Kluyveromyces lactis: one gene and its partners. The protein of the gene in region 3 purifies or fractionates together with the protein of the main gene of each other region. This does not show direct contact. Links are inferred from orthologs where the notes say so. Each region holds a gene or a part of one and is shown on either strand. Other genes may lie near its edges.

What was found.
Region 1: the proteins of SNF5 (region 3) and ARP9 purify together in Saccharomyces cerevisiae (affinity purification with mass spectrometry; 5 studies listed by BioGRID, with this or other methods). This does not show direct contact. The link is inferred for Kluyveromyces lactis from reciprocal best matches to the Saccharomyces cerevisiae genes SNF5 and ARP9.
Region 2: the proteins of SNF5 (region 3) and RSC6 purify together in Saccharomyces cerevisiae (affinity purification with mass spectrometry; 5 studies listed by BioGRID, with this or other methods). This does not show direct contact. The link is inferred for Kluyveromyces lactis from reciprocal best matches to the Saccharomyces cerevisiae genes SNF5 and SNF12.

The regions. Positions count from the first base shown.
Region 1 is NC_006039.1:1,059,007-1,069,389, reverse strand, and holds ARP9 (Arp9p), read left to right. Parts: upstream 1-4,819; coding exon 4,820-4,849; intron 4,850-4,962; coding exon 4,963-6,297; downstream 6,298-10,383. Other genes in the region: LPX2 (Lpx2p), read right to left, coding at 1-625; formin-binding protein HOF1, read left to right, coding at 1,974-3,797; centromeric DNA-binding histone H3-like protein CSE4, read right to left, coding at 3,992-4,546; serine/threonine protein kinase PKH1, read right to left, coding at 6,446-9,223; KLLA0_C12463g (uncharacterized protein), read left to right, coding at 10,029-10,383.
Region 2 is NC_006039.1:786,724-797,199, forward strand, and holds RSC6 (Rsc6p), read right to left. Parts: upstream 5,807-10,476; coding exon 4,421-5,806; downstream 1-4,420. Other genes in the region: snoRNA-binding rRNA-processing protein PWP2, read left to right, coding at 1-548; CTR86 (Ctr86p), read left to right, coding at 878-2,491; threonine synthase THR4, read right to left, coding at 2,561-4,093; mitochondrial 54S ribosomal protein bL9m MRPL50, read left to right, coding at 6,356-6,760; KLLA0_C09086g (uncharacterized protein), read right to left, coding at 7,146-8,372; KLLA0_C09108g (uncharacterized protein), read right to left, coding at 8,710-9,336; ATP23 (putative metalloprotease), read left to right, coding at 9,821-10,476.
Region 3 is NC_006041.1:1,663,363-1,674,723, forward strand, and holds SNF5 (Snf5p), read right to left. Parts: upstream 5,363-11,361; coding exon 2,960-5,362; downstream 1-2,959. Other genes in the region: CTP1 (Ctp1p), read left to right, coding at 1-991; BSD2 (Bsd2p), read right to left, coding at 1,609-2,559; APM3 (Apm3p), read left to right, coding at 5,741-7,234; CTI6 (Cti6p), read left to right, coding at 7,561-8,901; VPS45 (Vps45p), read right to left, coding at 8,979-10,712; TCO89 (Tco89p), read left to right, coding at 11,070-11,361. UniProt on the Saccharomyces cerevisiae protein: Involved in transcriptional activation. Component of the SWI/SNF complex, an ATP-dependent chromatin-remodeling complex, which is required for the positive and negative regulation of gene expression of a large number of genes.

The DNA of each region.
Region 1 (10,383 bases), on a different chromosome or scaffold from region 3:
CAATATCAGAAGTTAGAGAGAAACTTGCATCAGCAGCTTTGCCCACAGAACGATCAGTGATACCTCTCACATAAGAAACCTTTTCTGGATTAGTACGTTGATGAACACTTTCAGCAGCGTTTCTTTCAGCACCCGCCAAAACTTTAGTAATATCCATCTTTGGTGTCTTAGAGTGCAATGGCGAAGAAGAACTGGAATTGACATAGGTTACAGTAGTACTTGCTGTACTAGAGGTCCTAGACCTAGCAGCCTTGGGAGCAGCAATTGCAGCAGAAGACGCAGCAGACGAAACTACAGCACTGGCTGGTCTGGATTGGTCAGTTTTCTTTGGAGTAATGACCGCATTAGCTGCCTTCGAAGCATTTGGATTCAATAACCTTTTGTAGGCTTCGATGGTGGTCTTGTTGCTCGTTGCCAAATTGGCAGCAGTATCTGAAGCATCCTTACCATTAACCACGCCGGCCTTCAGAGACTGAGCTGGAGACTGGAACACACCGTACTTCAATTTTGCTCTGTATAGAGCCTCCTTGGATAATGGTTTACCGGCACTCTGGTAAACAGAACTTTGTTCTGCACCATTAGTATCCCTGGATTCGTCGCCAGTTACCGCAGAAACTAAAGACATTCTGTTTCTGGTAATATATCTGGGTATTTTCTTAGCTACTAATAATTCAAAGTAAAAAGCGAAAGTGTTCCTTAGACTCGTACAATTGAGCGACCAAGTAGTGTAGTTTTTTGGTTTATGTTCCTCTCAAATTTGTAAAACACAATAGGACTTGGTTCACGTTCTGATTTCGATATCAGTAATTTGCTTATCCTTTGCCCGTTTTTTGAGAAGTTTAGTATTAACTCTTCTTTCTAGTGGGAGTAAACGTAACTATGATAAACCTTTACTTGTAATTACGAACGAAATACACTTGAATTCACGTTTGTTTTATAATAAAGCAACGAAGCGAATATATGCTAAAGTGAATTGTTGATTAGAAACCCTATAATTAAGGATATATAATTTCTTGATATTGCAAAGTAAATAAACTTAAAAGAAAAAAAAATTGGCTAGAGTGACTTTTTAGGGACTCCTGGCGAAAAAAAACTGGCCAGAATAATTGAGAATAAAAAAGGAAGGAACCAAGCTGAGGTACCGCAGAAACTTATACCCTCAGTGTAGTTGGAACCCTTGCTGTTGAGCTGGTGCCTTGGTTGTCATCTTTGTTTGCCGTTTTTAAGGGGACGATTGCTATTACGAATTGTATCATTGTATGTACTGTGTTGCAGAGAAATAGTCTCAATTTGGGAACAATGTCGTAATGAAAACAGGGGAAAACTCGGCTGGTTACCCTGATATACAGTTTGTACGTTGTTTTCTGTGAACCTTCTTTGATGGTTCTTAGCAGGAAGAAAATACTCACGACGTTTTTGCTAATTATTTCATTGCAATCCCGTGCGGAGCTAAAGCATATCACAAAGGAGACATAGAGAGTTTTGCGATGGGTTAATTCAGGAATTTAATTGGACTCTCAAGTCATTAGACGGTGCTGTCCATATACCAGGGTAATCGTCAGAGATTATGGGGATTTTAGGCTCTCCTATTTATCCTCGCTTTCTCTTTTCATGTTCTTGTACGGCCGGTACAGACAAAAATGATAGAGGTACAGAATTAAGCATAATTTCCCTTTTTGGTATTATTACTTGCTTTGCAATAAACAAACAAAAATATAAGTCACGTGATTGAACTTATTCCCCAATCAGGAATAATGTAAACATCATCGAACAGCACTATCACAGTGATTGTATTCAGTTGTAGAGATGGATGGTTCTGGCTCTCTCACCAAACTTTGTTCGGTGTATGTTAACAATTCACAAGGATTGAAGTTAGATGTACGGTATCTGTTTTGTCATTCAACAATCTACAATTGAAGGGAAGTTGAGGGCATAACAAAGAGTAGGTATTAGCAAGGAAAGCTATCGATTGAATGACTCAAATATACAACTATCAAGAAAGTTTCTGGGACGAAGACGATCAAGGTGTTACCGTTCTTCTTCAGCATGTTGGAAGAGGTATATGCACCTGTGAGTTATTGCTCGATTGTTTCACTAAGAGAAGTGAGTTGGAGATGGATTATGCAAGAAGATTAGGAGCACTCAGTGCAAGAATAATGAACAATCTCGAACGATATGCGGACTACAATAATATGTCTGAATCCTTAAAATATTTCCAATCCTCCCAGCAGACAATAGCCAATGGTCATTCTAAGGCATATGAGAGGCTCAACAGGGAAAATGTCGGTACGATGAGTGATTTCTTAAAGCAATATAGAGCCAGATGGTCAACGATAACGGGAAACGTGGAAAACTTAAGGAAGTTGAAAGATGAAAAGAAGAAAGCCTTGAAATCTATAGATCAAGAATTACTCAGTGCTGAGAATAAACTGAGAGAGTATCAGCTCAACAAAGAAACTGCCTTGGGCGAATACCAAAGGAAAGAAAATGCGAGAGAATTGGAAAAATGGTCTTCGATAGTGGAAGAATCACACCGTAGGAAAACCGTCTTACATCATGAATGTAAAGCTGCTAGAGCACATTGGTTTGAGGAATGGAGACATATTAGTGGAGAATTGCAAAGTTTAGAAACACAAAGAATCCAGGTCTCTAGGGAATTACTACAACAATACGCTGATTTTACAACCCAGCCTTCGGAACTGGAACTCTCTTTGATGGAACAATTAAAACAAAAACTTTCCAGCTTCACACCTGAACTTGAAATATCGCACTTTTCTTACCACCATGGTACTGGAAGAATCAAGTTGAAAAACTCTAACTCAGTTTCAACGCACAACTCAAGTGCTAACTCTAACCCATCTAATGTGATCCGTCCGAAGAGTTCTCACAAGGCGTTGGATTTAACAAAGAATGATAGGTATGTTCAAAATATAAAAAGACTATCAACCCAGCTGAAGAACACCAGGCTCAATTCAATAAATGCATTAAGTGTCGATAAAGGGTTGCCAACTCCAAAAACTGATGCTGCCCTTGTTAATTCCATAGAATCGAAGGTCCTAAATGATAACTCTGCTCCGCATTCCGTTGAAAACTATTTAGAAGTGGTTACAAAGCCAGGACATGGAGCAACATTATCAGAATCTTCAGAAGAGACTTCTTCAAATCCAACGGACTTTACTCATAGGAAAAATAAGGCAAGTTATGATTCCATGTCGACTTCTCTCTCATCCATGGCCTCAAGTGTCGATGACTCTCAAAGGTTTGCTAAATCTTGGAATTCACGCAATAGAAGAAAATCTAGACCTTCATCAATGTATTCGCCCACAATGGATACGGATACTTCTGACAACGACAATAACAACTCTCTGAAGCCACCAACTGCAAATCGTAGAAAATCCATCGCATCGGATGTCGAAACAGCATTAGAAATCTTGGAAATGAATGATCGTCCGATGACATCAAGAACGAGCTCTGGTGCTTCTAGCAACTTAACTGTGAGCAGAACAGTGTTGCCTTTCAGCAACTCTTTGAATATAATGCGTTGTAAACGTGTGACTATTGATGGTGAACAATTGAATCTACCCATCGTTGATTCCATGAAAAATCCAGTCGTAAAATATGTCAAAGCGATGTATTCGTACACTGAACCCAATGAAAATAACATACTACTTTTCAATTCTGGTGATATCCTGCTGTTAGTCGAATGCATAAATGATGACTGGTATGTGGGTGAGGTATATCAAGGTAACAAACAGCATGGTCTGGTACCAATGAATTACGTGAAAGTAATAAATTGATGTACATCACTTTCACCTTGGACGCTTTCCTTTCTGACCATTTTCACCCGTTAAATAATGAATTTGTAACCATATGTAACCAATATAAAGTTCTATACTTATATATAATTTCTGCTCTTCCAATAGACATCAAACTATTAGCAAATTGAAGCTGAGCAGATAAATCTGTACTTTAAATGATAGGAAGGATTGCTTCAAATAAATTGACCTCGTATCCTTCTAGCTAGTTGCATGTCCTTTCTCATAATTGTAATTCTTTTAGCATGAAGTGCCAATAGATTTGTATGCTCTAATAAACCGACTAAGTAGGCTTCACTTGCTTCTTGAAGAGCCATAATTGCCATGGATTGCCATCGAAGAGGTTCGCTCTCGGTAGTGAATTGATCTGTTACCTCTTTCACTAGCCTCGCAAAGGGCATTCTGGATATAAGCAAATCTGTGGATCTTTGATATTTCCTTATTTCTGCCAAAGCTAGGTCAGTAGGTTTATATCTAGTTCCCCGAGCCTTTGTTATTCTTTCATGTGCGCTGATATGATGCTCTGGAGGGTGAATCTGCTGGCTGCTAGCAGAACGCTCGGGCTGGATGTATCTTGCTTTGTCTTCACTTCTATTTAACAACAAACGTCTTCTTCTGTTTCTCTGTAATAATTGTAGTGCTCTCTGATTGATCGATTCACGATCTATAAGTGAAGCGCCAACATTGCTCAAAGATCTAGAACCGTCTATGCTCCTGATAGACTGTTCCATTATGTATCAATCTCTTTTCCGTATGGTCTTTTGCGTGTCATAGAACTAATTTCAATGTTTCGCGTGTCATATTCATCATTGAGTAGGCTAATGTTAGCTAGATAACTGTTTTCATTATTTGAAAAATTCAAAAAGTAATAGAAGATAAACAAGTTTATACTTTGAATTAGCTACTTGGATAGGAAAAGTCTCGTCATTGACCTAGCAACTGTAACTCGTATTGTTACGATAAATCGAGCACTTTGTTGTATTGTTAGAAACCATTTAGCAAAAATGGCACCATTAAGACAAGACAGTTACTTCGTATGTGCGGTATCCAGATTGTTCATTATTCCGAAAACATTAGTTATTTAAACTACTAAGATAACTTTACTAACCGATCCACTCACATTACTACATGTGGTACTTTTGTCCAGATAATATATCCAGGATCCAATAGGACTTTGGTTCAATTTGGTATTGGAGAAGATACTTTGCAGCCGCCTTCGATTTCTATTCCAACAAAAGTTTACAGAGATGCAAATGGTAACTTTACATCCTCTGTTACTGATGTTGTTATCTGTCCCATTGTGAAGGGAAGCATTGTCGATATTGATGCGTTCCAATATTTTCTAAAGTTGATCTATAAATCTGTGTTAAAACAGGAGAGTGACGATAGTCCAATCGCTTGGGATACAGCTCTTTCTAATATTCCATTTTTGTTAATTTCGCATTACTCTTGGACTCAATTCCAACAAGAACTACTTTGCAGAACAGCTTTTGAAGCAATGAAATTGAAGCATTTTGTTATATTACCTAGCTCGTTAGCTAATTCATTTGCCTATGGCTCTTTGCAAAATTGTTTGATCATCGATATTGGCAAGTTTCACACCGATGTTGTACCAATTATGGACTATACACCCTTAACCTGCTTCATAAGACAGATTACTTCCGGTGGAAACTCGATAAATAAGAATCTACAGAGAGCTTTACCAAATCTCACCGAGTCCCAAATTGAGGATTTAAAAAGGTCGGATATATACGAAATTTTGTCCCAAGATATCATGGATCAATACGCTATCGACAACGAAGATGACGAAGAAGGTACTTTAGATGTGGCTACAATTGTTACTAGTGGGCGTGATACTCGAGAAATTCTAGAAGAGCGCGAACGAAACAAAAACAAAGAAAAACTGGACAACAGCAAATTAGAGACAAATGACTTCTTTGATACTGATGGTAATCGTATTACTGTAAGCAGGCAGAGATTCACAGGCTATGAAGATCTGTTGAAGGATGTCTCGAAAGCTGTAGGACAAGCAATGAGCCAGATTGATGACATAACCAAGCTTAAAGCAATGTGGGAAAATGTCATTATTGTTGGAGGGACATCACATATAAAAGGGTTCAGGGAAGCTCTTCTATCACAGCTGCTAAAAGACCATATAGTTAGTGAACCAGAAGAGGAACTGTATAAAAGAGAGGTGGATGCTGCGGCTAAATTAGATTCTAAACAGAAGAAAATTGGGAAGGTTTCCACTGCTCCAATCTTAAATCAGATTGAATATGTGCAGCCACCAACTACCATCATGACACCAAAGTTCCCTGAATATTTCTCGGAATGGAAGAAGATTGGTTTCGCTGATATTACCTTCTTAGGCGCCCAGATCTTAACAAAGCAAGTGTTTGGGCATTCTAACAATTCATTCTATGTCACAAGGGAGAAGTATGACGAACTAGGCCCAGAGGCCATCTGGGAGGTTTCTTTCTAAATAATTCTAGTACTTTTTCAATATATAAACGTATACAGATATCCATTGTAATTTCAATCAGCAAATGCAGTTCAGAGTACCGTACATTTAGAAAGTGCCCATCAAACTTCTCTAGAGCATTGAGCTATGACTCTTACTAGAATTTTGATCATTTGTTTGTTCTAAAGATTTGCTCGCTCCGGGAAAGCATTCTAGATCCACTTGATATTGGTCTTGTACCCAGCTTCCCGTTATTGTTTTGTTTTTGTCTCTGTGAGGTAAAACTGGACCTTCTTTTAGTGAGGAAAGGAGTTTTTGTAGTTTTATACCCATTAAGTTGTGTTTCGGCTTCCTGCTCAGCTAGTAATGCCGCTTTGTTAGCAATGGGATTGATTGATGTTTCATTATTAGTGAATCTTTCATTTTTGCTTTTAATCGCTGAAGTTAGGGAATGCAACCATACCAGGGTATCTGATTCGTCCGTTTGAAATACAAATGTTTTGAATGGCGTCTGTACAACGAAGATATCTTTCGAACTTGTCTTCTTCTCTGGTACAACCTCCTTTATGCGAACACCTAACTGTGACAAATCTATCTCATATTCTAGATCATAGAAAAGGTTTGAATTTTGATTAATTTTGTTTTTTCTAGCAAATAAAAGGCACCTTCCGAATGTCGTTATTACACACATTCTTTTAATATATTCTGATTGTGCGATAAATTCTGCAGGTGCATCAGGTGCCTTTGAAAAGAAATGTTTCAATTTTGACATACCCTCATGCGAAGCCTCATCTGCGCCAGATTGCTTACGATAGCTCGCTTCAACATTTTCAGGATCAATCAGATACTCACTATAAAAGTCATGCTCAACCAAGTTTGAGTTCTCTTGACGAAAGCCAGTTACATTTCCGCCTCCTCTAACAACTTGAGTCAGTAGAGTATTTTTTTTCTGCACCCTTCCGTCTGCATCTAAGAGGGAGAGCTTTGACTTGCTAATCTTCGCTTCAAGACTTTGGTTTTTGAGCGTGGTAACATTGATCTCCCCCATCTTTATCACACGTTCTTGTATATTTTTTAAGTAGTACGACCACATTATATCTAATTTACTCATTGGAGATAAATCGGACGATATTTTTCTGATATTAGAAGACGATGAAGGAGGAGCAGACTTGGATGATGATGAATTTGTACTTGCACTGCGGTTGGAGCCACTAGGTTTCCTTTGACTTCTTCCAGAACCCGCAGAAGAAGTTGAAGATTTTGCTGTCGTTTCATTTAATGGTTGCTTAATTTGCTGAAGAGCTGCTGCTGCTGCTGTTGCAGGATTAGGAGTGATATCACCTTGGCTTGGAGAGCCGGAGTATTGTTGTGATGGTTTAAGGGCAGCCCGTCTGTGGTTCCGCTGAGAAATTTCTTTTTTAACATTATTCAAAATCCGCTGTGTTCTAGGGTCTAACTCACGTTTTGTTGTGGTGGATGTCGTGTCACCATTTGGCCTTTGTGCTGTTGTCGTGTTTTTAGGGGTTATCTTCGGTGATACTGAGCTTTGTCGAACAGGTTCATGAATTGGATTAATAGCCGGAGACGAGGCCACCTTCGGTACCGAGGATTGCAAAGCACGGGCGGAAACCTTGTATGGACCAAGTTCTGGGGGGTCTTTATCCCAAACTGAGCCGTTACCGAAGTTTACATCGGCGAAAAACTGGTGAGCTTTAATTTGATTGATCAGCAATCTTCTTTCTGGGTTTTTAATTAGAATATTTTTCACCAAATCTCTCACAGTCATTGGGAAGCCAGCGGTAAAAGCAAATTGAACTTTCATTACCTTCTGGAATGTCAAATATTCATTGTTCGCCTTAAATGGCGGTTTCCCGGCTATCATTTGGAAAAGAATGCAACCAAATGCCCAAATGTCACACCTAAAATCAACGTAGTTATCATTCAACAATTCTGGTGATACATATTCTGCTGTGCCAACAAAGGAGTTAGATCTTGTCAACAGATCGTACTTAAGGTCATCCTCCGAAGTACTATCTAGAAGCCTTGCAGTACCAAAATCAGTTAACTTGACTTTCATATCAACGTCTAACAAGATATTTTCTGGTTTCAAGTCTCTATGTATAACTCCCTTGTCATGCATGAAACCTAATGCATCGATTATTTGTGCTGCATAGTACTGTGTACATTTTTCATTGACTGAACCATGCTTTCTCATAAGAGATAATAAATCGCCATTTGGTGCATATTCCAACAAAAAGTATAGAGAGGATTCATCCTGGAAGGTAAAATATAAAGAGATGATTCCTTTGGTATTCTTCAACCTCTGCAAGGTATTCTTTTCAATATTAACGTATTTTACCTTTTTCTGTTTGATGAGGTATTCTTTATTCAAAATTTTGACCGCATATTTTTTATTACTTTCAATTGAAGTTGCAAGCAGCACTGTTGAATAAGATCCATCACCTAACGTTTCTCCAAATTTGAAATCATTAATCCCCTTTTTGATGACTTGCTTTGTGATTTTCCCTGTTTGCTTATCCGGAACATCCTTCACTATCATTGCAGCACCACGATCTGCCCATTCCTTCTGCCTACGCTGCATTGATTCGCTAATGGGTAATTCCTTAGGTATTGAAATGTTATCATCTCGCGTGGAATCAATTGTTTCGACTGAAGACAGAGAGTCGTTTCTTCTGTTCAAATACTTCGGATCCAAAGAGATAAAATTGTCAACGTCTGTTAATGCTTTAGTTAAAACAGGAGGATTCGGCTTCCCAAATGGCTTCATTTCTGAGAGGTTAGATAAATCATCTGTCGTTCTGATAGTGGGTAGAGGAGGATGTGATAGTTCCATCGGAATTGGAGGTGGCGTTGGTCTATGCATAACAGATCTGGCAGATCCTGACGTAGGTATAATGGGTTTGTTAAAAGAATCTTCAGAAGACATATTGATGAAACTCTTAGAATGGTATTTTTATCAGTACAAATGCAAAGCAACAAATTTCGATATTGAACAAAGAAATATTTGATACCAAAACGCTGTTAGTTGATATTCGCTTAAGGGTATGTTTACAATGCAAAAAAAGGAGATGCTTCAACCATCAAACCTTAAAATATGAAGAACTTCAATTGCTAAAAGAAGACAAGCCAGACAAAAAAAAGGACGATTCAAAAATCAGGGGATTTTAATATTCCTAGCAACTCAATACCTTATTCACTAATGGGTATATCTATCACAATTGCTTCTAGACTTGATTGTCGTTCTTTCTTTCCTCTCTTCTTCTCCACGTATTTTCTCTTGCTTTGAATGTTAATGTTAAGTAAATTCCAAATGTTCATATTTATTAAAGTAACATCTAGTGGTCACGTGATATATATTTGCGTCTCAATACGGACGTATATCCGTAAACTCTCGTCATGTGTGGAGCTTCAACTGTCATGTGAAGCACAAGTGGATGTTTGTTTTCGCTTCTTGTCGTCTAGATGCAGAGAATGTCGACACCTAGCGCTAGGATCGTCGAGCAAGTTACTTTCCGAACACAAAGTAATTAACGATGATGTTATTGTTCGTCATATGTGTCATTGAATATACTTGCATGTCAAGCATTTATAAATGACATTATCTCTGGGATCCATCGAGCATAACATAAGAAATATACTATTATAAATAATTACAAGACAGAAATCTTTTGTTATTCTTGCCAGTTCCAATTGAATATCATCATATACAGTCTCCAAATACTCATAAAAAAATGGCACACGCAACCTCTTACAATGTCTTCATGTTGCCAGATTTAGAGGCATACGTCCATGGGATCAAATTCAAGAGCAAATTGAAGAAATGGAGCAAATCACAGGGGTTCAAAGACCTTTCACCTGATAACTTAAAGGAATGGTGCACGGATAGTTTTGTACTCGATTCCTTGTTAAAGGTGAACAGGTATAAATCCAGTCCTATAAATTCACCAATTTCACCATTGACTCCGGATATCTCATCAATGGCGTGGAAGGTCCCTCCTTGTAGAGGTAATCTCTTGGATGACTACAAGCAGTCATCTACTTACAAATACAGAGATTTTAAGAAATATTATCACAATAGTGACGATT
Region 2 (10,476 bases), on a different chromosome or scaffold from region 3:
AATATCTCAATGCCATACTAATGGCTTTCCGTCTAAATGAGGGCTATCTAATCCACAGAGTATATGAGAATATTCCAATAAAGGATATTCCATTGATAGCTCACGAGTTGCCAGTGGTTTACGTATCAAGAATTCTAAAATTCATTGGTGAGTACGCTTTAGAATCACAGCATTTGGAGTTCAATCTCCTTTGGATCAAATCTGTACTTACAGCCCACGGCAAATACATTTCTACTAATAAGCATCAATTCTCTAGCGCATTGAGAGCTGTCCAAAGATTTATTGGTAGAATGGCAAATGACGTCGTCCAAACATACAAGAGAAATAAGTACACATTAGACTTTTTGACAAATACCGATGGTTCTTCAACTAACGCTGTTGACGAGGATATGAATCTACTGGGCAATGATTCAGACAACGAATCTGAAGACAAAGAGGATATCAACATGGACGACGATTTAGATGGAGGTGAATGGGTTGGATTCGAGGAAAAAACTATTAATCTTCCTGTTAATGACGAAGATTCTGACGACGAAATCCTACTATGAAATCGGGATACTTCACTAAAAAGAGAATATATATAATTCCTAGCATGATAGATATATAAAATCACATCTCATTAATTTCAATAAAACAATCATTACCACGAATTCACATGGAGATTTTCACTGTTGTCCGTTTTTAACTTACGTTATTGCCTCTTAATCTGATAAGTTACATGCATATTAAAAATTCAAAATTGTTAAAAACCTTATAATTCAGGAACAGTTTTGAGATGAGATGAGATCAGATGAGATGAAGAATATTCAAAATAGAGAAATTGCGGTACAAAGCGTGACATTGCGCTCTACTGTTCATAAAAGCGCTTTAAACATACATGTCTGAAATTAGGTGGTCCAAGCTTCACAGTTTAATCCACGATGCACCAAGTGACTCAGGAGAGTACATTACTATAATTGATTCACTTAATGACCTAATCAAAGAAACCACAATAGAAGATAGAAGAAATGAAATCGCCAGCTCGAAAGATATCTTCTTCCAACTTCGAGAATCAGCTATACTTGGAAAATCTGTTGATTTGAAACAAGCTTGCAGTAGCCAGTATATGAGAATTGTTAAAGGAATTGTAATAATAGCGAGGAATCTTTCAGTTGCAAATCAGGTTATACCTCAAAATATTCTACTACCTAACACATTCCTGGCATGGTATTTATCCATTTCCAGACAAACTGTGTGTACGCCTGGTGATTTGAAGCAATTATATGGTCTAGTATGTCAATTTTACTTCAATTGCACCCGAACTAATGTTGTCTTTGATGAGAGCTGTTTTGATGATCATATGAATTTCATGGTAGAAATGCTGCGGTTTATTGATGATGATGGCATTGTTAATGCGTACTCTCTGTGGCTCTCAAATATAATGAAAAGTGATGCATTCATCTCATCTTTACTCAATGATATTAGATCTTTGGAAGTTATCGACAAACTACTACTGCGGGGAATAATTGCACAGAAAACTGAGATTGACTTGCTCGTTGAAGAGGAAGATGAGGATAAAAATCTTTCTTCCTTAGCTACTATTCAACTAAAAATATTAAAACAGTTAGTAACACATGAATGCTTCGGGTCTTATATGAAAACCTTACGAAAAGAATATGGTTTTGCTTCTTTCAACAAAATGTTCAAGATTGTCACAATGTTGGTGACCAGTTCAGAAAGATGGGACCTTTATCAGTTGACTGCAATTCTAAGCTGGACTTTTGATATTTTCGAAGAATATACATATCTAGTGGATGCTTTCTTTAAATCAGAGTCCACTCCAGAAGCAACTGATGCCGGCCCACTTTTTGCGATATTGTCCTCGGTTCTTGATATTCTAACTACACTTGCAAAATACCAACATGCACAGAAATACATGATTTCTTATGATGGGGTGCATAAAATAATAAAACTCTTTGATATCTTGGAGCGCAATTGTTTGAAAATTCATTTTAACAAATCTTCTGGGGCCAAAAATGTAGATTCTTCTGCTCACCCCGTAAGGGCTACCGATCATGTTGGAAACGTTATAACTGATGCTGTGATTCTCAAGAAAAGAATCCATAACAATAGGATTAACGACTCTAACTTCCCCGGTATCAAGTGCTTTTTGGTTGAATTGTTGGGGTTTATGTCGTATGAACAGAAAGACGTACAAGACTCTGTCAGGGAACTGCATGGTCTAGAACTTGTTCTTTCAAACTGTATTATTGATGACAATAATCCCTTTATCAAAGAAAGATGTATCATCTGTATCAGATATCTTCTTGCGAATAACAGCACGAATCAAGAGTTTATCTCACAACTTGAGGCTAAGAAAGCTGTCGATGGAGATGTTTTGAAAAAAGCAGGATACAAAGTGGATATAGATGGTAAGGGAAACATCAAACTTACCGCAGACAAAAGGAATGCTGCGTCGGAAGAACAACTGTTTGAAGACGTTCAGAAGTAGAAACATGGATGATTTTTAATCAATTATATACGGAGGTCAATTTATAAATGTGATTCATGCAAAAAATATTTAAACTTCCATCTTCACTAACTCTTCTTCGATGGTTTGTTTGACCAGTTCAATATCCGCCTTTTCCACCAATTTTAGCTTTTTCCCCAATGTAGATAGCTTCTTGAGTTCTTCTGGTAAAACATCCTTTTCAAAACTGTAACCATCAAAGCTGGAAAGAGCCTCGTTAACAGCATCGGCAAACTTAGCTGGGTGTGCAGTGGATAAAGAGATATAATTGATAGTGTTATCATTATCCTTTGTGATTTGCGTTTTGGTGGCGCAAATACCGACGGCGGTATGTGGATCTATGATGTAATGCTTTGGATTGACCGATTGCTCGTAAACTTGCTTTATGGTAGCTGTAGTTTCTTCATTGCTGACTCGTTCGGAATCGAAATCTTTCTTGGCGCCATCAATCAAGGAAGCGGGAACATCGAACTTACCCTTGGATTTCAATTCTTGGAACCAGTTGTTAACAGTTTCACCTGCTTTCAAATCGTCTCCAGAGGCCACATATTCACGAGCCAAGTACCAAAGTAGTCTTTCAAAGTTAGAAGAAATTAAGATATCCATGGCTGGAGATAGTGTAGCAGCGACATCGTCCGATCTTTCATACACACCATTCTTCAAAAATCTGTCCAAAATGTCATTTTCATTAGTGGCAATAACTAGCTTCTCAACAGGTAAACCCATCTTCTTAGCATAGTAACCAGCTAGAATATCACCGAAATTTCCTGATGGAACAACAAACTTCACTTTTTCTTCTTTACCGGTAGTAGCTTTGAAATAGGAATAGAAGTAATATGTGATTTGAGCCAAAATTCTAGCCCAATTAATCGAGTTCACAGCTCCAACATTGTGTTTAGAGTTGAATTCCTTGTCACCAAAGATAGCCTTGACAATGTCTTGACAGTTATCGAAAGTGCCTTTAACGGATAAGGTTTGCACGTTTTTGTCAGGAACGGTGGTCATTTGTTCTTCTTGAATTGGGGAGATTCTACCTGTTGGGTAAAGAATGAAAACAGCAACATCCTTCTTACCTCTTAGACCATAAATGGCAGCAGAACCAGTGTCACCAGAAGTTGCACCGACCACTGTAATTTTCTTTCTTTGGTCGGCTGGTAATCCATCGTTATGTCTTTGCAAGAAATATTCAAACAGGTTACCCACAAATTGTAAAGCAACATCTTTAAATGCGTAAGTTGGTCCATGGAAAAGCTCTAGGACATGAAGATTTTCATTAGAGCCAGTGACATTCTTGGCTAACGGGGTAACATCATGAGAACGGAAAGTAGAGTAAGATCTAGTAATCAAATCCTTTAAGTCGGCTTCTGGAATTTCATCTGAAGAAACATAAAGTTTCATGATTTCAAAAGCTAAATCCTGGAAGGACAACTTAGACCATTTATCAAACAACTCTGATTTAGAGACTTGAGGAATAATGGATGGGATAAACAAACCACCATCCGAAGCTAAACCTTGAATAATAGCTTCCTCAAAAGTTTTGGTAGCAGGATCGGATGACCTCGTAGATCTATAGCTTTGTGACATTTTGATTTGGTCTTAGATTGGATATCTTACCTTATTGGAGCCTCTGCCTGATCTAATCAACAACTAACAAGTGTTATTCTCAACTATAAACTTCAACAGTTTGCTTCGTGGTAAGTTGATGAAAGCAGAGGTTTACAGATGACTCAATACAATTTTCAATATTTTCTGAACGATTTTAATCATTTTAGACGATTTCATAGTACAAATGTTTTCTATACGGTTGTTGAATACACGAAGTATGGGCCCGCTCTGCGAAGAACTACCAAGGTATACGTTGTATACGGTATACATATATTTATGATGAAAGCGATAAAATACTGAATGAAATTATTTCATTCTTCCGCTTGAAAGTAGAACTCCAATGTTTTCAAAAAGAATTGAATCGTTGTCCTGGTAGAATTGTGATCTTCTCACTGTATCTTCATTGAAGCCAGCATCCCCTGATAACACTTTGAGAGCCTGCGATGACGATTCCATGTAATCTTGTAGCATTGGAACTGGATCCTTAGCTAGTTTATCAAAAAATTGGTATTTCTTTGCGCTTGAATTTAGTTGTAGTTGTAATAGTTGTGTTTTCTGATTTAGTTCTTGTATTTGTGGTTCGATTGCAGTTGATAGCGTATTGTATTCATTCAATAGCAATAATTCATCCTTTGACAACTTTTGGTCGCCTTTAACTGACGTTGATTTAGGTACTTCCATGTCAAATACCAAATCTCCGAAAGTGGAAGACTGATCTACACGAATAGTATAGTCAAGTCTTATTGGAGGTATCGGTTTTACATGATCTTTCACTAGACTTGGCAAATCGGCGAGCTTCAAAGAAACAATGCCTGCGGCAAGCCTTTCTGGAGACACTAGCTTTGCTAATGAAGCATCCATTTTCACTAAGACTTTCTCACCGTTTGTGGAATCCTTTGGTCCCGCCTCGTCGTTATTCGTCAATAGACTGTTTAATAGAATATATTTGTAAAGAGAGTATATCGCCTCATGAAAGGTTCCTTTTGAGAATCCGACAATACATGATAGTTCTGGTGAATACTGTAAGAACTCCCCTGTATACCCTTTTGGTTGGATAGTGATGGTACAGTTAACGTTTTCAGTACCCTTACGTGAAACATCAACACCGTCAAACTCTACAGGAGTATTAGGATCCACATGCCATTCAAAAACGGTTTGCTCATTTTTTGGCTTTTTAGCACTAGGTTCCTGTGTCCCTTCTAATAAGGGGTCTCCCATTTCTTGATCAGTTTCATCATCTTGATCTTCCTCTACAGGTTTGAAATCTATCGCGACGCTTTCTATAAAGGAGGAAAATTTAGGCCTATTTGGATCGTCTGCCTTCCCATTATCTAACAGTCTACCTTCAATACGCAATGTCCATGATGCTTGATCAAGTTCCATGGTCTCATCGTTCGTCTGCCATGGCTGGTTCTCAGAAATATTAGAAATGAAAACACGAACAAACTGATTATTCGCAGGATCTGTGTATTTGGAATGAGTCCATTGAGTAATATTCTGATGCAAATCAATTTTTTTACGACTTAAATATATGTCAATTCTCTTCTCAGCCTCTTGTAACTTACTTAGCCCATCCAATTCTGGTATTAATTTCTTCAAATACGGTTGGATATACATGTCAGTTGGTTGTGCAACTGGCACAGTTTGTGCCTGTTGATGTTCAACCGTTGCTCCACTCTGTGCCGCAGACATTTGATTTTGATTTTTCTTTAATCTCAATCTAGCGGTAGCTTAGTTTATTCTACTAGGAGGTAAGCAGATGATATGTCTCATCTATACAAGTTGATGCATGTAAGTTAATGTACCAAAAGCTAGTGAATGCTTTGTTTAGGTTGATTGAATAATTCGAAAAACTGATGTTGAAACAACGAAAGCACCCATACACCCATACACCCATACAATACTTTATAGCGAATCGTATTAGGTTAGATTGTATCCATTACGCAGTTCATTTATAAATAAGTATTTCAAAGGTTACAAACACGGAGTAGTACAGTATGAACGGCTGTCACTCGCTAAACCAATCTTTTATCTTCTTTTTATGTACACATCTTTTAACTAGGCTGGCACTTAGATATGATTTTAAAGCTTCAAAAATTTTTGATAGTTTAAAATCACATTAGAACAAGATCAATCTAAAAGTTAACCATAAGCAGGGAATTAAAAATAGCGTCAATTGTGTTTGAAGTGCTATTCCAATAACTGCACACGCTCCAAGGGCTTTTAAAATATTACAGCAAAATGTTCAGACCGACATCATCGTGTCTTTCTGCCTTAACCAAACGTACAAAGAGAGTACAGGTACAGTTATTAAAAGATTTTCCTCAGTTCCAATTTCATACCGGCGAGGTGGTAAATGTCAAGCCCTCACTAATGAGAAACTTCTTGCACAACTATAATGGAGCCCGCTACATTCTAAAGGAAACTGATATTGACCAAGCCCTGTTGACCTCAGCTAAGAGATCACGTGCATCAGCAGCAGCTTTATTAAAAACAACCGAATCAACGGTGAAGAAGACTGAACAGAACGTAAAGAAGGCTAAGCAGGTATCCAAGGAAGAAAATAAGACACCAGAAACTCCTAAGTCAGCATTAAACGAAGAAATAACTATCGAGAATGTGAAGATTCCAGGATTAGACTTATGATAGTAAATGTTTTATCTTTTTTTTCCTCCTTACGCGGATCATTTGAGATACCAATGTCTTACAAAATAATAATGATCATGGATGTTGTTCGTGACGTCTCGTCCCCATTGCGGTTCAGAGGCACATTCATACACTTGTACATAAATTACATTAAAATAACTTGCGAAAACAATAAAGAAAGTTCGTTGCATCCAATCGCTACCAGTTGAAGTAATAACGTGGACAGTAGATCTGGATGATTCATACTAAATGGGGATTGACAAGAGAGTTATTACTACAGGAACGCTCATCACCTGGACGAGCATATTTCTCTTGATCAGCTTTAACTGTTGCTTTGGAAATAAAGAGACGAGAATGAGAAACAACCCCAATAGTGATGAACTTTCTAAATTCTCATTTTCTGTTTGTTTCTCAGACGTCTTTCTCTCTTTTCTCTTTTCTTCAACTCCATTTTATCAAGTTCTTGGTCGGTCAACTTGTCTCTCATATCCTTTCTCTTTTGTCTCTCAGCTTCTTGTTTTTTTTCAAGAGCCATTTCTCTTTCAACCTGTTGCATGACTTTAACAATCTTGCCTAACTCTTCTTTACGCAATTGAATACCCTTCTTCAAAATATCAGTGGTGATGAAAGAATTGGATGAGTTAGTTTGAATATCCTTAGTAACATTGTCATAAATTTCGACAACTTTGGTTATCAATTCCTCCAACAATTCGATATCTTTGTCAGAAGTTACCAAGGATAAGTAGATGACACAACGTGGCAATTGAGAAGACTCCCATAATTTGTCAGTAATCGGTTTCTCTTCTGGTAAATCAGTGAAAGAAATAAACTTCAAGAACTTGGCAGATTTAGATAGCAACACCTTGAAATCTTCACCGGCATAGTGAGGAATAAATCCGTTCAACTTATTTGATTCGGACATGAAAACATAGTCTGCTGGTAAAGATTCATTTTCAGCGGTATGGGTCAATGATAAAAAGTAGTTTGAGTCACGAGCTTTAGTCATCACTGCTTTGTTAACGATAGATGTGATGAATTTCAATTTGGACAAAGTTTCCGCTGAGTTGGCAGTTAGCTTAGCATCTTCAGTAGAGACGAATTGGCCATTTGGAGTAATGGTAACTGAGATGAATTCTTCAATGTCGTTGGCAACTAATGTTGGTAAAAACAAAGCTAATGCCTTTTGAGTTAACAATGCCAATGGGTTGTGACGAGCCGTCAAGTGTGCCTTAACAATTACGCTTTCAATAGTAGAACGACCAGTGGCAAAAGATGTGAACCAGGTGTTATTTTGCTCCTCAATATATGGCATCTTCTTGCCATCGGCACTAAAACCAACCTTTGTAAAAGATAACTTTGTTAACAAGAATGTGTTCAAAGTACCAAATATCTTATCGGCATATTTATTGTTCAGAGTCTTACCATAATAAGAAATGAAAAATAAGATAGCCATGAGACCAATGCAAGCCAATTCAAAGGTCCAATTATAAGCAGTCACTCTGCCCCAAAGTCCTAATTCCTTTTGTTCTTCAACAGAAAGGATATAAAAGTCTTTGTTCAATGCATTAACATAGTCAATAGCTTTGGCCAATGGCGCCAAAATTGCTGACATCTTTCTTGATAATTTTTAGATATCTGTATTGGTCAATCAAAGGAAAAAGACAACACTGGCTTTAGGTTAGGTTCAATTGCCTAAGAGATAATTCTATAGTAGAATCTATATACAAGATCTTTTTCTCTTCAAGATGGACGATGTCTCTACTAAGTTCCGCAAATATTTTTTATCGTGACCGTAAAATTTCAGTAGGGTAACATAAAATCATTGACACTATGCGATTGATGATTTAATAGATTACATACACTAGCGAAATTGAAATACATGAATTATAACACTGGACGACCTTTGATTAGGTATTTCTAGTGGAATAAAGTTTTTACGCTTCCAATTTTTATTTGACTCGTTTATTGTTTTCCGAACTGTCATTGTTATTCGAAAAGAATTGATTATGAATCAAATCTCTAATGTACTTTTCAAGCTCTTCTTCTGCGTTTTCACCCTGAATTATGCTCTCTAGTTTCTTTCTACGTTCCAAAGATTCGGGATCTGTCTCGTCTACTGGATCGTTCTCTAACGTGTAACGTATGTTGTCTTTAAATTGATTTAACTGTTCTTTATCAATACCAAGAGAAGTATTGAATATGGTTTCTCCGAGGACTTCTTCCGCATATCTCAAAAGGTCCAAGTTGTCGTCGCATGTTTCTTGCCACACCTGGAAGCATGTCTTTCCCTCGTTATTCAAAAGCTCACGATCAGCTCCTAATTGTTCTATTAGAGACCTGGCTGTAGTCGCATCTTCACAATGGTGAAGTGGTGTGTCATTGTCAGAGTCCTTGATATTTACATCACCATTATGCTCTTGTACAAGCTTCTTTAGCAGGTCGATATGACCATATGCTGCAGCCGCGTGGATTGGGGTGTATCCGTTTTCATCCTTGTCGTTTGCGGTTTGGCCTTGTTTAATAAATTTTTCCACTAGTTCGGTCTCCCCGTTACTAGCTGCGATCCAAATATTCATGCTTCTGAAGTCTGATATAGCTATTGTGTCAGTCTGGGCACTACTGAGAATGAATCTAGACAGAAAGGCAACTAATATCTTCAAACAACTTCGAGAGATGCTGTATAGCTCATCGCCAGCTCAAATCAGTTTAATCGAAAAATTATTAATAGTGAAGGTATAGAAAGGAAAAACCACCAAATCACGTGTGTGAAAAGAAGATTGCAATGTTGTATACACATTTCTGAAATGAACCATTGATAGCATTCCTAAGTGTTTATATGATCTAAGGAAAAAATGTTTATATTCATTTCAGGATGAACACACTATTTTATGCTGAATCTCACTTTTGTCTCTGCACAGAAACAGATCTCCGTAGGTCATCTTCTTCATTCGAGTATCACTTGAAATCATAAGAAAATTTGAATATCTACCTAACCAACAGCACTAGATTAAGAAAAGGAAGGCTTGCAAACCTGTGTACTGAAGCGATAGCCAGTGAAAAATGTCCGTACCACCGCCTCCAAAGGAAGATTTGATAAAACCTAATCCGCCGAAATCAGAATCCGCTGTTAGCGGCTTCAACTGGTGGAGAAGAACGTTCCAATACAAAACGGGCCTGGGATTGACACCGGAAGAGGAGACACAGTACGAGAATGATTACAAGTTTGTGCTACAGCGTAAACAGTGTTCCAAATGTTATGAGTATAGAGATTGGTTGTTAAACTATTCACCAACTGTCATTTTTATGACGCAACAGATAGCCAAACTTAACAACAAAAATACTAATGCAGATGTTTTCAAGTTTGACGAATCGAAGATTATATGTGATGTATGTCCGGACTGGAAATCTGGTGGTTTTCATCCAGATTTAGGTATTCTAATCTGTCAGAATAGAATTAAAGATAAATGGCATTTGGAAGACACTCTGGCGCATGAATTGGTGCATTATTTCGATAATTTGAAATGGGAAGTGGATTGGCTAAATTTGAGGCATCACGCCTGTTCTGAGATTCGAGCTTCAAGTTTGAGTGGTGAGTGTCGGTTCTTCCAAGAATTTGCAAGACGTGGGTTCAATACTGGGTTTAAGGTTGATAGAGGTCATCAAGCTTGTGTGAAAAGACGTGCTGCGATCAGCGTTTCAGGAAATCCAAATTGTAG
Region 3 (11,361 bases):
CAAGCGTTTATCTAGCTTCCAGCTCTGTCTTGTATTGTTCTATTCAGTACTTTTCTTTAGTGCCCAAATATACGAGCTCACGCAGTGTGAATCGACGATGTCAAGTAATAAGCCGGCTGTAGATCCATTCCATTCCTTCCTAGCAGGATCAATCGCAGGTGCTATAGAAGCCTCCATCACTTATCCTTTCGAGTTTGCCAAAACGAGGTTACAGTTGGTGGATAAGGCTAGTAAAGCTTCCAGAAATCCATTGGTTCTAATATACAATACGGGTAAGAACTACGGTATTTCATCCATTTACGTCGGTTGTCCAGCTTTCATCGTTGGTAACACAGCAAAGGCCGGTATTAGATTTCTTGGGTTCGACACAATCAAGAACTTGCTTCGAGACAAGAAGACCGGTGAGTTGAGTGGATTTAGAGGTGTTGTTGCCGGGTTAGGTGCAGGTTTGTTGGAATCGGTCGTGGCTGTGACTCCATTCGAAGCCATCAAGACTGCATTGATCGATGATAAGCAAGCTGCTGTGCCAAAATATCAAAATAACGGGAAAGGTATGGTGAGCAATTATGCTAAGCTTTTATCCGATCAAGGATTTTCTGGTCTTTATAGAGGTGTCTTACCAGTTTCCATGAGACAAGCTGCAAATCAAGCCGTTAGATTGGGTTGTTATAACAAGATCAAGACTTTGGTGCAAGATTACACAAACGTACCTAAGGATAAACCTTTGAGTTCAGGTTTGACCTTCATTGTAGGTGCCTTCAGTGGTATCGTTACCGTTTATACGACAATGCCTATCGATACCGTTAAGACAAGAATGCAATCTTTGAATGCAGGCCAATATTCTTCTACTATTAACTGTTTCGCTACCATTTTCAAGGAGGAAGGTTTGAAGACTTTCTGGAAAGGTGCTACTCCAAGATTGGGTAGATTGATCCTTTCTGGTGGTATTGTCTTCACCATCTATGAGAAGGTATTGACGGTTTTGGCATAATTAGCCTTTCAGCTTTCTTAGTGTGTAACAAACGTGTAGTTTACTTATAAAACAAAAAATACTAAACGATAATCTTAATCCGCATCATAAAGATGATCGGCCATTTGATGAGAATCTTTTCCATCTATATTGTTATGATATACAAAAAAATATAATACACATGTTTGCATATATCCACATGAGAGACATCAAACATGCCGAATAGCATCAGGTAAAAGGAACCATTGTATCATGAAATAGATTAAAAGAGTAATTTGGTCATAGGGTGCACTGAATTAAGAGAAGACAAAAATTTCCTTTTTGTTAGTTTCTGAAGAGGAACAATCATAGAGACAGCCTGTTTGTTTTATTATAGTGTATTTTTTTTTAATTTTGGATCCACAACAACTTAATGGATAGGATTACAGTTTGATTTATTCTGATGGGATGAACCATTTATTTATGAGTGTAGTAGTGTTAAACTCGAGAGTTTTGACCCTGCAAAGGGTGTCTTTAAGCTGCAAAATAGAATAGTGAATAAAAATGTGAATAGGGCAAAAAACGAATTGAATATATGAGAAAAGGTTGAAAGCAGTTAGTCTGCTAATGCTAATATCATGGAAGTCAAAAAGAGGATTTTAAACTTCTGCTGTTGCTGTTGCATCTTGCAAGAAGCGTGCCTCCATGCGTTTGACCTTAATGTAATCCCAGATACTCTTGATTATTATGAACCCACCTAACAGTATAACGAATATGGCCAATGCCGGTGTGTGCCGCGTCTTTTCCATTACTCCATGAGAAAGGTCCGATTCGAATTCATCCTGAGTAGAAGTACTTGTATATAGACGAATCTCTTCAAACGAATCTGGATTATCAAATGTAAACCTGTTCAATTCATTATCCTTTCCTATCTTTCCTGAAACATCGTTCGGTATCATGGAATATCCGTATCCAATGAAAGTTACCCCAAGTCCAAACCTGGACCCTTGCCTAGCTGCATGTGATGTATGTAAGATATAGGTCAACAAGAACCCGACAAATTGGAAACTGAAGCTGACCACAACGTTCCATAAGAAATTGAATATATTCCCAACTGGAAGGCCGTCGATGCAAATTTCGTTGTAATACAATCCAACGCCATCGTCGTCTATACCGTAATATGGTGGAGCCATATCAGCCGCAGCCTCGTCATACGTAGGAGGCTTATCCTGTTCCCCATTCCCATTGATACCGTTCCTTTCAGGTTTCGCCATAAGATTACTGAATACACCATCAGAACTCGCCCCGACTTGTAACCTCATCGCTTGCTCGCTTGAACTGCCGCCTCTAAACAGTCTATCTAATATATTGAACTTTCGGGCAACAAAGTTCAAATGTTGTTGGAACTGCCCATTCATCTGGTGCAGTCTAGAAGACGACGAAGTTGTCCCTGTTTCCACATCATCAGCTCTTGAAGATTCGGTTTCTGGCTGTGTTTGCAGCTGCGACTGCGATTGTGAAGGAGACAAAGTCACTGAGGAAGATCCACCGACTTCATCTTGGCTCCTGCCAACGCCACTTCCGGCTACGAATTCCGAATGCTCAGACATACTCGCCGCGTAGATAATCTCAGTAAACTCTACTACCCTCGAGTAACACTCAAATATGGCTGCTTTGATGAGTTTGTGGCCTCTGCATACCAAGTTTCTTAAAAGGGTTGGTTCGTTCAAATGTTAACGTTTCCATTACTAAATATATTTTTTGGTTTTGAGCTGTTTATGAAATTTAGAGGCTTACACCATAAAGAATGAAACAGGCACACATAAATATCGATATACGTAGAGGTGCGTGTCAAGACCCTCGAGTAAGCCCGCGATCATCGGCGTTCGGTCTCTCATAGCTATCTTCAGTGCTCTTTCTTCTAGCTTATTTATCATAGTATTTCTTAAAATTGTTACAGGTGGTACCACATAAATACATATGTACATATATATATATATAGCGAATTACTCATTGAATGGTTGTCTTCGCCTTTGGTAGCTTTATAGTGACGAGTAAAGATTTCCCAACGTCGTGCATAATAACTCTGCATGCTGATGAGTTTCTTACTTCCTGTTGGAATTCTTGTTTTGGAGTTGCTTTAGCTCTGTCTAAATATTCGACTCTAGTTGATGGCTGGAACGATAACGTACTTGGACCAACATCAATACCTCCAGGCAAAGTTGTTGTTGGAAGTAGTTGACGGCACGTTTTTGGGATATCCCCAAGATCAGGAAGTTCTGCATCATGGGGTAGTTGCGGTGTACTTCCGGACGATGGGTGATTTTCTGTATTGCCTCTTCTATTGAAACGAACTTGTCTACGTTTCCTTCTAGTGTCTCTGTCCTTATCCTTAACCAAACGTTCTAGTTCTGCGGGAGATATCTGTAATAAGTTAGGTGTGTATAAAAACGTATCCTTTTGTGGTCTCATTACGTCTGCTAAGGTGAGTACAGGCAAGAATCTTGTTCTGATATCGTCTTCTTCAACGGGGCTACCGTCAAATTTGTAACCAACCATATATAATGACTTGTGATACATGTGAACTTGTTCTCTAATGCAATGTGCAATTGCTGTTAAGAATTCACCCGGAAGGGATAGTTCTTCGCATAAACACTCCGCGAACGATTCTGGACAATTATCTGGATTTGACACATCCCATTCAACGGTATCTATCAATTGATGTTGTCCAACGACAATATCTAGGTTGATTTTTATTCTGAAATCATCGCCCCCGAACCTCTGCACATTTTCAAAAGGATTTGGAGTATATTCTTGAAGTTGTTCTTTGATACTATTCACAATCTGTTGATACATCTCCGTGGTGACTTTGAGCCTATAATCCTTCAGCGTTGTTTTCACAAATTCGTTGATTGACAGTAGCGTGTCTGATCTGTTCCATACGAATGTGTCCCTCAAAGTAAATTTATCCTTTTCTGCATCAAACTCTAATCTAACAGGTACTAGTTCCTCCCCTGTTTGATTCATTGTCCATTCATATATTTCGTCCAAGTGCATTTCATAAGTGTCATCGACTTGAATCCTTGTGAGATCGTTACTGAAGCCATTTCCATATCCAGAATAACCGTCACCCCATATACTCTTAGATTTATGTCCTTGAGTTGTGTTGGTAATGGATTGCATTCGACTGTTCCTCAATTCTTTGTAATAATCAAGATCTTGCTGTAATCTCAATATTACCTCCCTCTGACTGAATCCGAATTTGGAAATAGGTTCCAATCCATTAGTGTCCGCCAACAAGTTGTCCTTATCCAACAAATCCCGTTCAATAACATGTTCATATAATCTTGTATCAAAACTCACAGGCTCGTTATCAGCTCTTTCTTTCTCTGACCATAACCTAGTATGAGGTAATGGAGTCTCAGGTGGGTCTTGAAGAATAGTTTGGAATTTGGGAATATCAGGAAGTTGTTTCTGAAACTTCTGAAGCACTTGCTGTAGTATTGCAGCTTGTGATGGTTGAGGTGGCTGTGGTACTGAAACTGGGACTTGTTGTTGTTGTTGTCGTTGTGGTGGTTGTCGTTGTGGTGGTTGTGGTGGTTGTGATTGTGGCTGTTGTGACGAAGGAACCATCGATTGATTACTGTTCATAACTGGTATATTCTGAGTTATAGGTTGACCTCCAATCATTTGTTGTGGATTCCCCATTTGTTGCTGAAGTGGTATACGAGGTTTCTGAGGTTGAGGCTGTTGAAGCTGCGGTTGGTTAGGAGGAATAATGTTGCGTGGCGGGGATTGATGTTGTTGCTGCTGAACAGGTTGTTGTGGTGGTACAGGCTGTTGTTGCTGTTGCTGTTGCTGTCTATGTTGTTGCTGTAATTTGACTTCAAGCTGAGTGATCATCAGAAGAGCGTTCTGGTTATTTCTCGCAATAGCCTGTTGTTTGATGGACTGAAGCCATTGCATTTGCAATGCCGGTGATAGTTGTGCAATTTGTGGAGGAAGATTCAAAGAAGTTCGTTGTTGAGATTGGGGAGGAGACTGCTGCTGTTGCTGTTGAACCTGCTGTTGTTGCAATTGCTGGGCTTGTTGCACCTGCTGAGCTCGTTGCTCCTGTTGCTGCTGCGTCTGAGATCTCTGCATTTGTTGTTGTTTGAGCTTCATTAGCTGCGCACGCTGAGCAGCATCCAATTGGTTCATATTACCGGGAGAAGAAACCTGTTCTTGCTGCATCTGCTGTGCTTGTCTTTGTCTCTGCAATAACAACTGTTGATGTTTCTGCTGAATCATCTGCAACTGCGCTGGCGTCAAGGATTGTAGGATATGTTGTGGAACCTGCGAAAGCGAAAAGGAAGGCGTCCCTATGTTACTCAAAGGGTTCGCATTGCCAGGATTCATTGGTGGGTTTGACATTCTCCTTTCAGCTTATATAGAGAAACAAAACTGCAACTAGTGTTTTCAATTGCAGACAGAAAGGGAAACACAGAAGGAAACTAGTATATTCTTTCTTGCGATAATTCTCAACCAAATGCTGTCAAATATACCCTTTCTGAAGCCTACCTGAAAGGTGTTCAGTTCCCTTAAAAACAAGAATTTCTTGTTGATCTTTAAAGTTTGTTGTTGGTCTTGTTCTTTCGTTCTTTGAATTCATGAAATTCACGAAATTTTGATTAACGATTAAGAGAAGTACGAGATGGAACAACCTAATGAAAAATTAAGGCAAGCAAACAGGATACAGCGGGTTATCCGCATATAGTTGGTTATCATAGTGAACTTAAGCAATTGGCTACAATGATTGTTAGCATATATGTCAATGATAGGTGCCAGGAAACGCTATTCCAGTACTCAACAGTAGCAGAGTGCCCTACTTTTCGGCAACTAGTTGTTAAACTACAAGGTAAAGACGAATCATGGGAGTCTAAATACTGCAATGAGATAAATTCTGAGTTGAAGCTTTGCAGACACGTTTCTTTGCTGAATCCAGTTGTTTATTGGTGTTTAATTTCGTGTTCAGAGTCCACAGTTTCCGTGGTATCTTTGTTAGAAGAGATAGATTTACTGTTGTTACAATATTTCGATAAGGACCAATTAACGAAGCAGAAGATAAATAATAACCTCGATCGATTATCGATGCTTTTCCATTGTATCCTTGATGCTGGGCAACCGGTGATAACAGACTCGAACCGTTTAAAGGCAATGGTCCCAAGTAGAAACGATTTATCGAAATTGTTGAAGACGACAACCAATACAATTACCAAGACCTTACAACAACCGGACGGGTCAATGTTTAAGAATGGTCCGGAAAAATCAAGGTTTAGTGGCAGTAGATATCCATCTTCATCCGCTTCATCCGTTTCCTCGTTCCACGTTGGGTCTCCTGGCTCCTCGTTAGTTGATCATTCCGTTGATGAATCTGGTGTCCCATGGAGAATGAGCGGCATCAACTATGCTAATAACGAAATATTCATCGATATGAGTGAGGAAATTAACGCTATTGTGGAAAAGGGGAAACTGTTAACCGGACATATCAAGGGTTGTATCGACTTAAACAACCATCTCAGCGGACAGCCATTGGTTGAGATGAAACTTGGGCTCTTAGACCACAAGCTTAGCCACTTAAACACGACTTTCCATAGATGCATCTTAGAGGATAAGGCGAACAGCATAAATGATTTAATCGCTGGGAAATTCACTAAGCTAACGTTTGTACCTCCTGATGGACGTACTAGGCTCTGTCAATATACCCTACCGTTGGTGAAAAGAGACTCAAACCTCGGCATTATAGACGTAAATTTACAAAGCAGTTTAGGTAAAAGACTTGACGAATTTGAGGTCCGCGTCACCGTTGGAATGAGCACGACGGTGAAAGAAATAGAAAACATGAGCATGACTATCAGGATGAATAGAAATTTTAAGGGAATAGTACGTGTCATGAGAAACACTCACGGCGGTGTCGAAACAAATATGACTCGTGGCGAAGTTAATTGGCATTTGGACAAAAACATGGTATGCGGTTCAATGGCTGTACTACGTTGTATAGCGGAACTGGAACCCGAACTCGCCTCCAATGACCAAACATCTAGTAGATCTTCGGTTGTTCAACCACCTAGTTCACACTTAACATCCTTACTACAACCTAGTTTCATCAAATGTTACTACGAACACAAATCCCAGCTTCCCTCCGGAATCAAACTTCAATCAATCGACGTAGTTAATGGAGGTCCAAAAAAACCGTTCAAAGGTGTTAAGTACCTCACAAAGACTGGTTCGCTAGAGTATAGGTGATGATACGTTAAATGGTTTATATATATGTATGTATGTATTTATGTATGTGTTTGGATCACGTGATATTTTTGTTTTATGTACTTTTCGAACGAGGAAAAAGTGTTCCAACTGATTAAAGACTTAAAAGGAATAAGTAGAGCCACCTTGGATAACAGATGTTTTAAAGTTTCTATGTATGCAATGCGGAGGGCAAGAGTGAATTCCAGAAGTTTCAGGGCTGTTCTATAGTGCCATTTTTACTGATCTCGACATAGAGCGGTTAATTTGGGCGATTTGCAGCTGATATTTGACGAATAATCGAGAAGAGGGGATCTTGAATCATAGCAATGAAGCGAGAAACGAGGGACCGTGGAAGGACGGACCTTGCACCAGAGAAGTATGTAGAGGACTCTGATCCAGAGCCTGAGGATGAAGGTGAGACTCGGTGTATTTGTGGGAAAATTGAACCGCCAGATGATTCGGGTCTTTATATTCAATGTGAACAATGCCATGTTTGGCAACATGGATATTGTGTGGGCATATCTGAGGAGGAAACTCCGGATAAGTATTGGTGCGAGCAGTGTAAACCAGAGCTACACTCGCTCTACACAACGGATCTTGGTGAGAAGAGGTCAATATACAAGCCAATTCAGCAACGCCGTAGGAAAAATAGAAGGTCGAAAAGAAACTCCGAATCGGATGGAGAAGTATCAAACGCTGGAAGTTCACTAGAGAACCAATCTCCTTCTAGCTCAGTGGTTAGTGGAAATATTGGATCTCAAAGATTATCTCGGCAAAGGAGAAATAGTAGTAATGTTGAATTATCGAAGGATGAAGGTGAAGATTCTATTGCGGACTCCGGAAATGGTGAAGATAAGGATGAAAATATTCCCAAGCGCGAGTTTGATCCAATTGATGAAAATCAAAAGGTTGCAGATCGTAAACGTGCTACATCCAGTGCCAGGGAAGAGAAACATTATCAACTTATGCTAGAGAAAGCCCTACGCGAAAGCAGACGCTCTTCAAAAGATGGCACCGATCCCGAAGACCAAGATATTTTGAAGGAAGAAGAGGCATCAGGGAAGTCCGCCTCACCAAAGAATTACACTAGAGATACGGAATCTCCAGAAGTGGAAGGATCTGAAGCTGATGAAGCAGCTAGTCAATCAAGAAAACGAGCTAGAACGACAACAAAATCTACATCGCCATCAGGTTCCGAAGATGACTCCAAATCAAAAAGATCAAGAAGAGGTAAGAGCAATGGTTCAACCACGCAAAGTAACTCAAGGATTTACAAGACCTCAAGTGGAAGAGTTGCAAGGAATTCTAAAGCTAGCAGCTCAAAAGGATCGGGTTCCTCTGGAAGTTCAAACTTGTCGAAATCTAATGGACAATCTAATGATATCGGAATCAACAAGCCTCTAAAACCCAGGATTCCCTCTCAGAGGACCACTATGCATGAAATGAGAAGAAGAGTTAACGCTATTCTGGAATTTATCTCAAGGACACAGTTAGAAATATCTAATGACCAACGTCAACGGGATCAGTTGTGCCAGTTTGTGGAAAACGAAGAATTCCTGGAAAATATTAATAAAATATTCTCCAGTTACGACGAATCCTTCAAAACGATGGATGAGCTAACGAGGAAATTACTGCTTTGGGAGCAAAAGTTTAGTCCAGCTTCTTAAAAGCATGATAGAGAGTGTTCTTTTCTTGTTTCATACATTTCCTTACCTAATTCTACATCTGAAGTACATACGTAAGTTCATAATAAGTCAACTGGTTTATCATTAACGGCGCAAACATCTGTTAAAAATTGCTCTGTAGAAATAATCGAGGTTCCTCCAATGATAACTCTGCAATTGTCCTTATTTTTACTCTGTTTCTCATTGAATTGATGTACTGCGCGCGCTTCTTCTATAGTGAGGCCTCCGACGATCAATATAACAACATCTTGTGGCATATATGTCTTAGGGTCAATATTTTGGTTTAAAAGAGTCACTCCCTCTTGTGGGAACTTGTTTTTATCCAAATCGCTGAGAAGTGTTGTCAATTCAGGAACATGTTGCATAAACACATTTTCAGCGCTGGTGCTGCCTAATCTGTTGAATTTCTTGGTTAATCCACTAATCAAATCATTGTCCTGAGGAGCTTTGTGTTTATTGAATATTGACCCAAATCTCTGTTTAAATTGAAAGTAAAGAGAAATTTGTGTGGGATCACACTGTTGTCTTAGAATATTCTCCAACTCAGAAACTCTAGATTCGTTCTTGCCGTGTCGTAGAACAAAAATGCAGCATAATTTTAATTTGTAATATGATTCTAAGGTTGGTAAGTTTAGAATTCTCTTCAGTTCTACAAAGTCATCGTTATTGTCATCATGTGAAGAGAGGTTTTGCTCTAGCTCACTGACTTCCCATATATTCTTCAGTTGTAATTGCCTATCTAATTCACTAACAATGGCCATATGTTTTGAAATGTTGCCTGAGAGTTTCTTAAATTCGGGGAACTTTTCGATGAACTCTTTAATATCTTCTATCGTATTGATTTGTTTGGTAATGTTGGTCTTATTTTTATACTGAGTAACATAGTTCTTCACCTTATCTGCCAAATCACCAAAATTCATATACATTGTTTCTTTGAAGAACTTATCTTGTTTTGAAGAGAGTACAACCTGCTTCAAATCGGGATCGATATTTGGTACATTCGAAAGGTCTACCAAGTTTCTTTTTATTCCGATATATTCATTTATCATCGATTGATAGGTCCACGGTTGAAGTAATGGTGTCAATGGATCCGATTTCCTGTCAAGTAAAATTAGTAACGGATTCGAATCTCTGACGGGAAAATCAAATAACTGCCTTTCATTTGTCTTAATTTCATACTCTAAATCCTTAGCTAACTTTTGACACAATTTGCTATCCGAGTCATACGCAATTGTCGGATTTAGTTTTAACGATAGTAGCAATGAGATTAACCCGTTAGACGTCTCCTGCAATCCCTTTGGATCCCATACCAATTGATTTTGGAGAAGATTGTACAACGGGATCTCTAAAGTGAAGACATCCTCGTTCACAATTAGGTAGTCTTGGAAAACTTCTTCTACATGTGTGACAACCTCCATATCATCTCTTTCGGCTAACCGTTCCAACTGGGACTTACTCACCTGGTTATTGAAGAAAATCTGGTATTCGCCATACTTGGGATCCTGTAATTCGTGTAATAGGTCTTGAATCGTATCCTCAGTGGGTTTCAAATAGCATAAACATTTCAAATGTGGCATTGGATCTCTGTGAATATTCTCAAGTTTATCGACCAAGTAAATCTCGTGCTTTAATAGCTCGGTTTGAGTAGTACACATCGATATCGTAGAGAGTGTGTCATTATCCAAAATCAATGCCTTTACTCTCGACTTCTCCTGTATCGAGGTGTCCGACGGTTTGGACTGGAAATTTGCGATTCTGCTGATATAATAATCACCAACCGTAAACAAATTCATTACGAAAAAGTGCTCTATCCTCTCAATTTCAAAAGAACTTGGATATCTTAATTGCTGATTCACCGTTGGCACGCGCTACAGCAGCCTTAATCTACCGTTTCTCACTGCTACTTTGTTCCATGCAAAAGTTTAAGGTCATTTCTCCTTTAATACTTATTTTCAAAAAGAGTTGAAACTAAGATTCTGGCACACATCAATCCATCTTTGTTTAACTACAAACAAACACAGGAACAACAATCTTGCTATAGCCTGTGATTCCAAACTTTACATTTAGGTGGGAAATAGCAATTTTTCCACAATTCTGTACAGTCAAGGTAATAATTCTTAAGTTGAGGCTACTGGCTATTCTTTACAACAATGGCCACAATTTCCCGTGTGAAGCCTGTGAAGACTAATTCAGATACCAGTCTATCACAGTATATGAAGCAGAAGAAAGGACATGGAAAACCTAAACAGTTCTCTGCAAAATCTAGGAGCAAGAGCAACACCAGTTTCAAGAACTTACAGAAATTACACAAGGTAGGAAGCCACGATGCATTGAATAGAGGACTTTTCGATCCTATGAAGAAATCGAAGAGTTCGGACTCATTGAACAGACGCACGGTACACAGTGGTCTCAGTATGACGGCATTGGTAAGAACATCATCTC